Coturnix japonica: one gene and its partner. The protein of the gene in region 1 interacts with the protein of each later gene in a pairwise test. Links are inferred from orthologs where the notes say so. Each region holds a gene or a part of one and is shown in the gene's direction. Other genes may lie near its edges. The genes, in order: GOLGA1 and PDCL2.

Evidence for each region.
Region 2: the proteins of GOLGA1 (region 1) and PDCL2 interact in a two-hybrid assay, tested with the Homo sapiens proteins (2 studies listed by BioGRID). The two-hybrid records come from large-scale screens. The link is inferred for Coturnix japonica from reciprocal best matches to the Homo sapiens genes GOLGA1 and PDCL2.

Annotation. Positions count from the first base shown.
Region 1 is NC_029532.1:8,050,665-8,055,095, forward strand, and holds the start of GOLGA1 (golgin subfamily A member 1), read left to right. Parts: upstream 1-1,334; 5' UTR 1,335-1,453; intron 1,454-1,759; 5' UTR 1,760-1,936; coding exon 1,937-2,071; intron 2,072-2,831; coding exon 2,832-2,922; intron 2,923-3,595; coding exon 3,596-3,670; intron 3,671-4,163; coding exon 4,164-4,261; intron 4,262-4,431. UniProt on the Homo sapiens protein: Involved in vesicular trafficking at the Golgi apparatus level. Involved in endosome-to-Golgi trafficking. Mechanistically, captures transport vesicles arriving from endosomes via the protein TBC1D23.
Region 2 is NC_029519.1:58,669,749-58,674,013, forward strand, and holds the start of PDCL2 (phosducin-like protein 2), read left to right. Parts: upstream 1-1,447; 5' UTR 1,448-1,530; coding exon 1,531-1,536; intron 1,537-2,562; coding exon 2,563-2,683; intron 2,684-3,854; coding exon 3,855-3,945; intron 3,946-4,265. Other genes in the region: NMU (neuromedin-U), read left to right, coding at 1-5. UniProt on the Homo sapiens protein: Essential for male fertility, spermiogenesis and acrosome formation.

The DNA of each region.
Region 1 (4,431 bases):
CAGCTTTATCTATGTTAGATTCTTCAGTAGGTGTTTGTATTACAGGTCACTAATGATGGCAGTAGCAGAGCCCTCAGTTAGTCCTGCCCTTTCCAGACCAAGTGGCTGCCTGGGTGTCAGCAGCTGATCTGTGATGGCTGCAGCTGTTCTGTGGCTGAGGAGCTGCGCAGCCTGAAAACTGTTAAAATCCCTTGGTGACTTTGCATAGCAGCACTGTCAGCTTGTGTGAGGGGTGTTGGTGTGGAGGGCAGGGCAGAAGTCTGCAAAGTGAAGAGGTTACAATTGCTGAGATGGCTCTCTGACATTTTCTAGTGTCTTTGACTTCTAGAGCAGTTCTGTTTCTGTGACCAAATCTATTGCATGTGCTTTGAAGATTCAGATATCTGCAACTAGAACAGGAGGAATACATCAATTTATTTTATTCTTCTGGGTTTTTGTTGTTGTTTTTTTCACTCTAAACCATTCCTCTGCCAAAACAAAAGAGATTTAGTTTGAGATTTTCAAATTGGATCATTTGGAATATCAAAGAGCATCTCTGCATCTTGTTGGTGCACTGGTGCACACAGAGATGTTTTGCCCTTGAAGCTCCTACTTTCACATTGCAGCTGCTGTTCCCTGGCCCAAAGGCGCCCTGGAGCCTCCTGCTTTGCAGCTGTTCAAGGATGAAGGCTTGTTCTTGCTATGGGCCCCGCTGGCACTGCAGGGCTCCTTTGGCACGTGTTGGTCATTGCTTCCTTCATCGGGGCTGTGTTAGGGCTGGTTCTGCCCGCAGGGCCCCAGAGCAGGAGCTGTGCCCTGCAGTGCAGCCATGCAGCAGAGCGGGGCTGGGCCTGCACTGCAGTGAAACCAGAAATCAGAACATTTGGTACCCAAAGTCATTCTATAATGGATTAGCTCGAAGTTATTTGACAGCCACGTGCCTGTACATCGTATTTTGGTAAAAGCAGATATTTTACTTAAAATAGAGATATATGAATAAAAGTTTTGGAGCAAATAGCTTTTTTTTTTATTTTTTATTTTTTTTCCATTTTCCAAAGGCTCTGTAAATTGCCAAAGCAATGTAATGCCAGAGAGTTCTATCTATGTTGGTGTCTGGGAGGAACGCGATGTGTTTGTATTACTGCTGCAATTGTCGGGGGGAAGTGAAAGCTGAGCTGGAAGTGCGACTGGGTCTGTGTCGGTTGGGCGCTGCACAAACAGCTCGGTTACGGCTCTGTACCGGCAATGACAATAAACGCTCGGGGCGGGGCTGCCCGCTGCTGCCATCACCCGGTGTGCCGCCTCTTGCACTGCCGCGGGACGGGGGGGCGGGGCGGGCACGTTGCGCATGCGTACCGGACGGCGGCGCTTCCGCCCGCGCGGCACTTCCGGGTCAGCGCCGGAGGCGACGGCGGCGTCGCGGGGTCCGGGCGGCGGCGGACGAGACGAGGCCGGGCCAGGCCGCGGGACGGCGGTGAGGGCGCGGGCTGTACTGCAGCGGGTTGTATTGCAACGGGCCGTATTGCACCCGGGGACCGCGGCCGTCTCCGAACAGGCGGCAGCTGCCGGGAACGGGCCGCCCGAGCTCGCCCTGTCGTTGGTGGCGCCGCGCTGCCCCGGGGCCGGGCCCAATTCTGGGGTGGGGGCACCGGAGGGTCCGTGCGGTGCGGCGGGGTCGTAGCGGGCTGTGAGGGGTTGTAAAGTACCTAAAAAAGCGTGTAGTTATCTCTAATGGGGGTGGACGTCTTCAGCATGGAAGCCTTATCGCCTCAATTTACAGGTGTTGTTAGGCCATGGAGGCTGTAATGGAACGAGAAATGCAATAAAGCGGAGTGGATGAAGCACAAAATTAAATCTCAGCTTCTGGAAGCTGTAAGCAGAGCATCGATGCGTTAGATATATCACAGGCACCGGCTTTTTGAAGCACCCGGCACTGCCAGTGCTACGGAGTAGTAAAATGTTTGCGAAACTGAAGAAGAAGATCGCAGAAGAGGCAGCTATTGCTCCCAGGCCCGGGGGGGCGGCCAGGATCCCACGATCCATCAGCAAAGAGTCCATCACCTCCGTGGGAGCGGACTCGGGAGATGACTTTGTGAGTTCTGCCTTACTCTGAGTTTGGGTTCTTAAGCCACGTTTGTGTCGCTGCTTTCCAGGATCCATTTTAGGTGTGCTGTGTGAGCTGAGAGTGCCCTGTGGTACCTCTGTAGGTGTATGTCTTAATATGCAGATGAATCAGTAGCTTGAGTCAGTTTAAATACCAAAGGGAAAATATTGTTCTGTTTACCATCAGAGTTACTTGTTTACCCATGTAAACATTAGTTACAAAGCTGTCTCAATAGAGAACATCATTCAGCACGTGTAGGACGTTGAATAAATGTTGAGTGAACAAGTAGTATGTGAGATGCCTAGTAGTGAAATTAATTTCTGAAGCGGTAAGAAAGCAGGAATTCCAAACTCAAAAACTTGGTATTCATTTAACTGTTCTTAATGCAGATTTTATACAGCTAGAAAGCCATAGAGAGTCCTGTGTCATTTATGCTTTGGATTTAACTTGGAATGACTGTTGAGTTCATTCCACATAAAGATTGTTGCTCTTTTTTCCTAGTTTCTAATTTGTCCAGAAGGCTTTTTCTCTGACCCGTCCCTTCTGAGCCTGGCATCGTTAGAGCCTGATTTCCTTTTTCCCCCAGCCATTCTGTTGTGCCACCTTCTTAGTGCTGGGTTAGAACAAACTGCTTTCTGCTGTAGGCAGTTATAAAAGACACTGGGCAGTGTTTATTGTTGTAGAGTTAGTATGTAACAGGATCGTTTTGAGTACATCTCTTTAGTTACATGGTTGTTCTTCTGTCGAGGCTTCTGATGGAAGCAGTTCTAGAGAGGATCTTTCATCCCAGTTGTTCAGAAGAAATGAACAAATAAGAAAACTGGAAGTCAAGTTGTCTGGTACGTGTCTTGATACATGTAAAATTTGATTGCTTAGAAGATAGTTTCCTTTCCACTTCAGTGTTCAGAGTTATGAAAAATGTTTGTTTCATTTTAGAAAGTTAACTTGTAGTATGCCCCTATCATTTTCATCTAGGTAGCATTTCTGCCCCTGTGCTTCAAACAGTCTTTCCCTCTCCACCCCCCTTTTTTATTATTCTATGTATGTGATGATTTGTTTCTCTTAGGATCTAAGACTTCTGATGTTGACAGTAACACAGGTGAAATGAAGAAAGAGGAAAGAATTCAGCATAAAACAGTCGCAAGGCTGTTTTGCTTTCTAGGATAATACCTCGTTCCATAGAGCTGTCAGTAAGGGTTCTGCTCTGACACTCCTTTCCATCCCTGTTGTATGGAGTGGAACTTCTCGTGTAGCTACCAGCACTAGGACAGACCCTCTTGTTTGTACCACTCATTTACCCTACGGACAGTGGAGAGCTACTTGCTTCTGTTCATTGTTACAGTCACCCAAGTTTTCCTCAGCAGAAATGATTTTCTAGTTGAGAAAATCATTGCCATTTTCCACTCATCTTTTGTTTTTTTTTTTCTCCCCCCTCCCCTTTTTTTTCCCCCCCCTGTTTCCTTCCCTAATGTCTGTCCATTCCTGGTCTGTGCTTCTCCCTCCTAACACAAGATTATGCTGATCAGATCCGAAACTTGCAGAAGATAAAAGAGAAGCTTGAAAATGCATTAGAAAAGCATCAAGATTGTACGTATTTATTTTTTAATCTCTCTTATGGTTGAAAATTGCTATGGTTTAAATATACCTGGAAAGAAACAATTTTTACATACAGTTTTTTAAACATTTATTTTCAAACTGTATACATGCAAGCTGCAAAGAAGTAGAACACAGGCTCCTGCCTTGCTAATGATGTAATAACAGCAGTGATGTGCTGGTTGTTGAACAAAGCTCATATTATGCGCTATTTGGCAAATTTGGGGCTAATGTGTAGAAGAGACTTTGCTGAAACGTACGGCTTTGCTGTAGTCCAGCTTAGAACAGGAGACATCTTTTGTTACTTCAGACACTTCTCTCACATGCAGGCAGTGTTATGTGATGAGTGGTGCAGTATTAGTGCTAGAGCTGAGATGGTGCTGAATGCTTGAAGAAGCAGCTCTATAAATATATGGATAACATAGAAATTTCAGAAGCAATTTTAAAATATGGATTTTTAATACAGTTGGTGCTTTTCTGTTGGTAGCTTCTATGAGGAAACTTCAAGAGCAGAATGAAGCCCACCAGGCCAACCGAGCCAAGATGGCTGAAGGAATGGCTTTGGCCTTAGAGAAAAAGGACCAGGTAACGGAGCTTAACAACTGAGCTTTTGTCTGGCTGTGGAGATGTACTCAGAGTACATTAATTAAAGTAGCTTTTCTGTGTTGATGCCATTGTGGTAGACCTTGTTGCCATTTTTATCTTATTTTATTTGAGCAATACTTATGTATATTCAGATAACACAAATTACTCTA
Region 2 (4,265 bases), on another chromosome or scaffold:
ACTAAGGAGGTATTTATTTAATGCTTTCATCATCACTTGCATTGGAAGTACTTCATTTCTGTACAAATATGTCACGGTATTTATGATTGGAAATAGAGTTCTGCAGACAGTCTTCTTTGAGATATGCTTAATCCACATATCTTTGTTTAAAGTGAGTAGAAGCTGTAGATGCTCAGTTCACAGACGAGAGAACAAAGTGTTTCTGGAAGAAAGAAATGAAAAAGATTAACAGTTTGTAAAGTTATCAATGATAAATGAAAGGTGTGTGTCAGGAAGAACTGATCCAACAACCCGTCAAATACATACTGAGAAGTAAACTGACAGCCTGGGTTGCTCTTACACAGAATTAACATCTGCCCTTACATTGAAATTAAGTGCAGACTTCAGATTTTGATTTAAAATCATTCAATTCTGTGCTAATATTCTGATGCTCTGTTTTCTAATGTATCTTGCACCTCTGACATATCTTAAGTAATTTGCTCTGCACCGTACCAATGGCTAAAACTTGTTCTTATTTTTCAGGGTTTTAGATTCCTGAAGTAGAACTAATGCTGCAAGAATGCTGAGTATATGGACATAGGGTTTTCCTCACAGAGACAGTTCCTTACTAATGTACAATTAAAAATCACTAGAATGTAAATGCTCTAACATAAGATTCACTTAACAATTCCAATGTTTCTTTACTTCCTTGATTATATTAAAAGCATATTAAAATGATTTGTTTCCCACTGTTATGATGTTTACAACTGTGTTAAATGGAACAATAAAAAATCCTCAGTGTATGCATGCAAGAGATATTGTCCCCAACAACACTGCTGTGTACATTTATTTGCCTTCACAAATAAAGGCTCTGAGAGAGTTGTTTTAATGGGAATGTTTGCAACGTAGGCTACCATTTTTTTTCTGAGTGTTCTGCAGATCTCTGATGTAGTTCTTAGAATGGCAGTTTAGTTTATTTTGTATTTGAGAGGGCATTCTTTTTATATACAATGATGCAAATTTATGTAGCCAAAGCGTTATATTTGCAAGTTATTATTCTGCTCTCATATTTACTGAAAATGCAGTCTTTTGTTATCTTGAGCAAGCTGAGTCCTGCAGAGAAGACTTACACCAAAGCAAAGCTTTCAAATGCCTGTTTGGTAAAGCAGTGCATGAAGTCCAGATGCAGAGAGATGTAGATCAGATATAAGGGAGAAGGTTTTTACAGTCAGGGTGGTGAGGCACTGGAACAGGTTGCCCAGAGGGGTGGTGGATGCTCTGTCATTGACCTAATAGCAGTGTAGACAAGGATTATTGTTAACACTGGCTGGTCACAAGGTGAGCAGAACTCAGCACCCCTCCTGCTCGCATGCTTGTGTGAGCAGCCGAAGGGCAGAGCACTGGCTTTCACACCCGTCGCCTAACCCCGCACCATACTGGCGCACCGCGGATCTCGCGCTGTACCAGCTGCCACTATGAGGTACATGGAACCGTTAGAACCCGGTTCTGCCCCAACCGCCACCGTGAAGAGCGGCAGGGCTGCGGGAGGCCATGCAGGTGGGTGTGAGACCGACGGCCTGAGGGAAACCGGGGGAAAAGGGGAGCTGCCGGGTGCAGCCCTGCGGGCGGGCAGGGCTGGGCACAGGCCAGCGGGTCGGGCTGGGCCGCGAGCAGAGCGGCCTGCACTGTGTTCCCCTTTGGGGAGGGGGAAGAGGGAGATCATTGCCCAAAGTGAGTTAAATCCTTTTCTCTCAGCAATAAGCTCTAGATGCTTGTGAGGCCAGAGTGCAGCAGGAGCAGTGTGTGTTGGGAGCAGTGCCAAAGGCCTGCTGAGCCCATGCAGGGCTGGTGCAGGAGCTGCCAGGAGCTGCTGCCATCTCCTGCCTGCTCCAGCCCTGCAAAGTGTCACTTCCTCATCCATGCCAGAATAAACTGGCAGAGGTAAAGGCCTTGCAGACCCACTGTGCTTCCCAGGGAGCAACAGGATGGTGCTCTTTACTGTCTTAGCGGGTTTCCTATTTCTTTACATCCGAGATGCAAAAGAATTTGTTTTATCATTACAAAATTCTTGGGAGCGTTTATATCCTAACACTTGACTTGTGGTATCATTAGAATTGTGTTGTTATGTTCCTGCTAAGCTCTGTAATCTGTTGAATAAAAGCAAGGCAGTTGCTGGCTGGGAAGGCAAACACATCACTCACAGCCGTGGTAATGATATAATGCAAATCCTGGGTGTTTCCTCAGGTAACCTTTTTGTAATGCAATGTTTGTTCATTTGATGCTGAATTATTACAAACGCCATCAAATATTTCTGGTGTATAAAAATCTATTCAGGCCTTTCTTCATGGAGGTTTTCAGTCGGTATTTCAAGGTAAAAAATACCACACTGATTAACAACCTGTTTCCAGTCCTTGTGAAAGACGTCCTTACGTGTTGCAGCCCAGTTACAATAAAGATTCTTTTAATGTGATAATCTGAGAATAAATGCAGCCCTATAAGTAGATGTATTTCCTTTATCTTAATTAAGTTATCAATCGGAAGGCTGATTTGTCAGTGTTGTTTTGTTCCATGATACCAAAACAGGACCCAAATGAAGATACCGAATGGAATGACGTATTAAGAAAGTTTGGAATTCTTCCTCCAAAAGAAGAGCCAAAAGATGAAACTGAAGATATGGTTTTACGCTTGCAGAAGGAAGCAGAAGGCAAGTCAAATTTCAAATACATGCTATTAGAATAATGACATTTGAAACACAGATGTGTGTGGTGTGAGGCTCATCTCCACGGTGGGAACCTTTCCTACTCCAAGGGCCATCCTTTGCTATCTCTTCCAGTCAAAATTAAGAGAACCTTCATAGACCACAGATCAAAAGGAAACAAGAGTGGAAAGAATGTAATCCAGCTTGTTTTCCCTCAAAACAGAATCAGTTATAAATATCCAATTCTCAGCAAATGTTCATTTTAAAAGTTGATTTTTCACAGAGGCTGTGGAAAAAAAAAAAAAGAAAAAAGAAAAAAAAAAGTATTTTCACTTTCTTTGCAGATACCTGAAAGTACTGCAAAATTATTACTGCAGATGTCATAGAATGGGTTGGGTTGGAAGGAACCTCAAAGATTATCCAGTTCAAAACGTCCTGCCGTGAGCAGGGTTGCCGCCCACTAGATCAGGTTGCTCAGGATCCCATCCAACCTGGCCAAATTTTTCCGGCCTCCTCTTTCTATAATTTCCTCTTAAAGGACAGAAAGCATTAAGGTGTAAGAAACGGAAGTGGCACCACAGACTGGGCCTCTTGGTTCCCACTGTTTTCCTACAGGCAAACATTTTTCCATAGAGCAACAAAGGCTCTTGTTTAAATGTGCCGTAGGAATTCTCACTTTCTGACAAGTTTTAGACTTGAGTTGAAAGGAAAGTTACAGATTGTTCAGGGGTTTTCAGATTCTACTGAGTTCTGTTCACTATTACAGAGCAGAGAAAGTTGTGTCTTCAGTGGTAGACTCTGCCAAATTCTCTCAGGCAGCATTGATCAGGATATTGTTTGTATAAAAATATAGCTAAAATACACTAAAATAATAAAAAAAAATATATGGTAGCATGACATACCTTTGCATACTGCATCATTTTAGTTACTGTCATCGAATGATTTGGGTTGGCAGGGACCATAAACATTATCTCATTCCACCCTGCCTGCCATGGACATGGACACCTTCTACTAGGTCAGGTTAGTCAAAACACCATCTAGCTTGGCCTTGAACACCTTCTGAAATCAGCATCTCTTTCATCAATTCCACGTCTGTATGATAATTTCCATGCATTTAAAATGTGCAAGCACTTTAGAGAACAAAACTATTTTTTTGTTGTTGTTGTTTTGTTTCTAGTGAAACCATATGAAAGAATGAGCCTTGAAGAATTAAAAGAAGCTGAAGATGACTTTGATGAAGCTGATAGGAAGGCTATTGAGATGTACAGGTGTAGTAAGATATTCCTGTATTAAGATACAATGAGACATCCTTTCTGTGACATACCATATACTGTTCCTGATCTGTGTGTAAATTACGATGTATTGCTAAAGTGTAACAGTGTTGTGTGTACATTTAGTCTTGCCAGTTCTACAGTGGCTTTCAGTCAGTACAATGAATAGCTTCTTGTAGTTCAACACATCTCAAGAAGGCATTTTCATTTTCTGTTTTCTACTTTGCAATTATTTTTACAGATGAAAGCTGCCATCTACTGGTTCCACATTCCAGTTTTCATGAAATATTGTTATGTGTTGTATCGTATTCGCACAT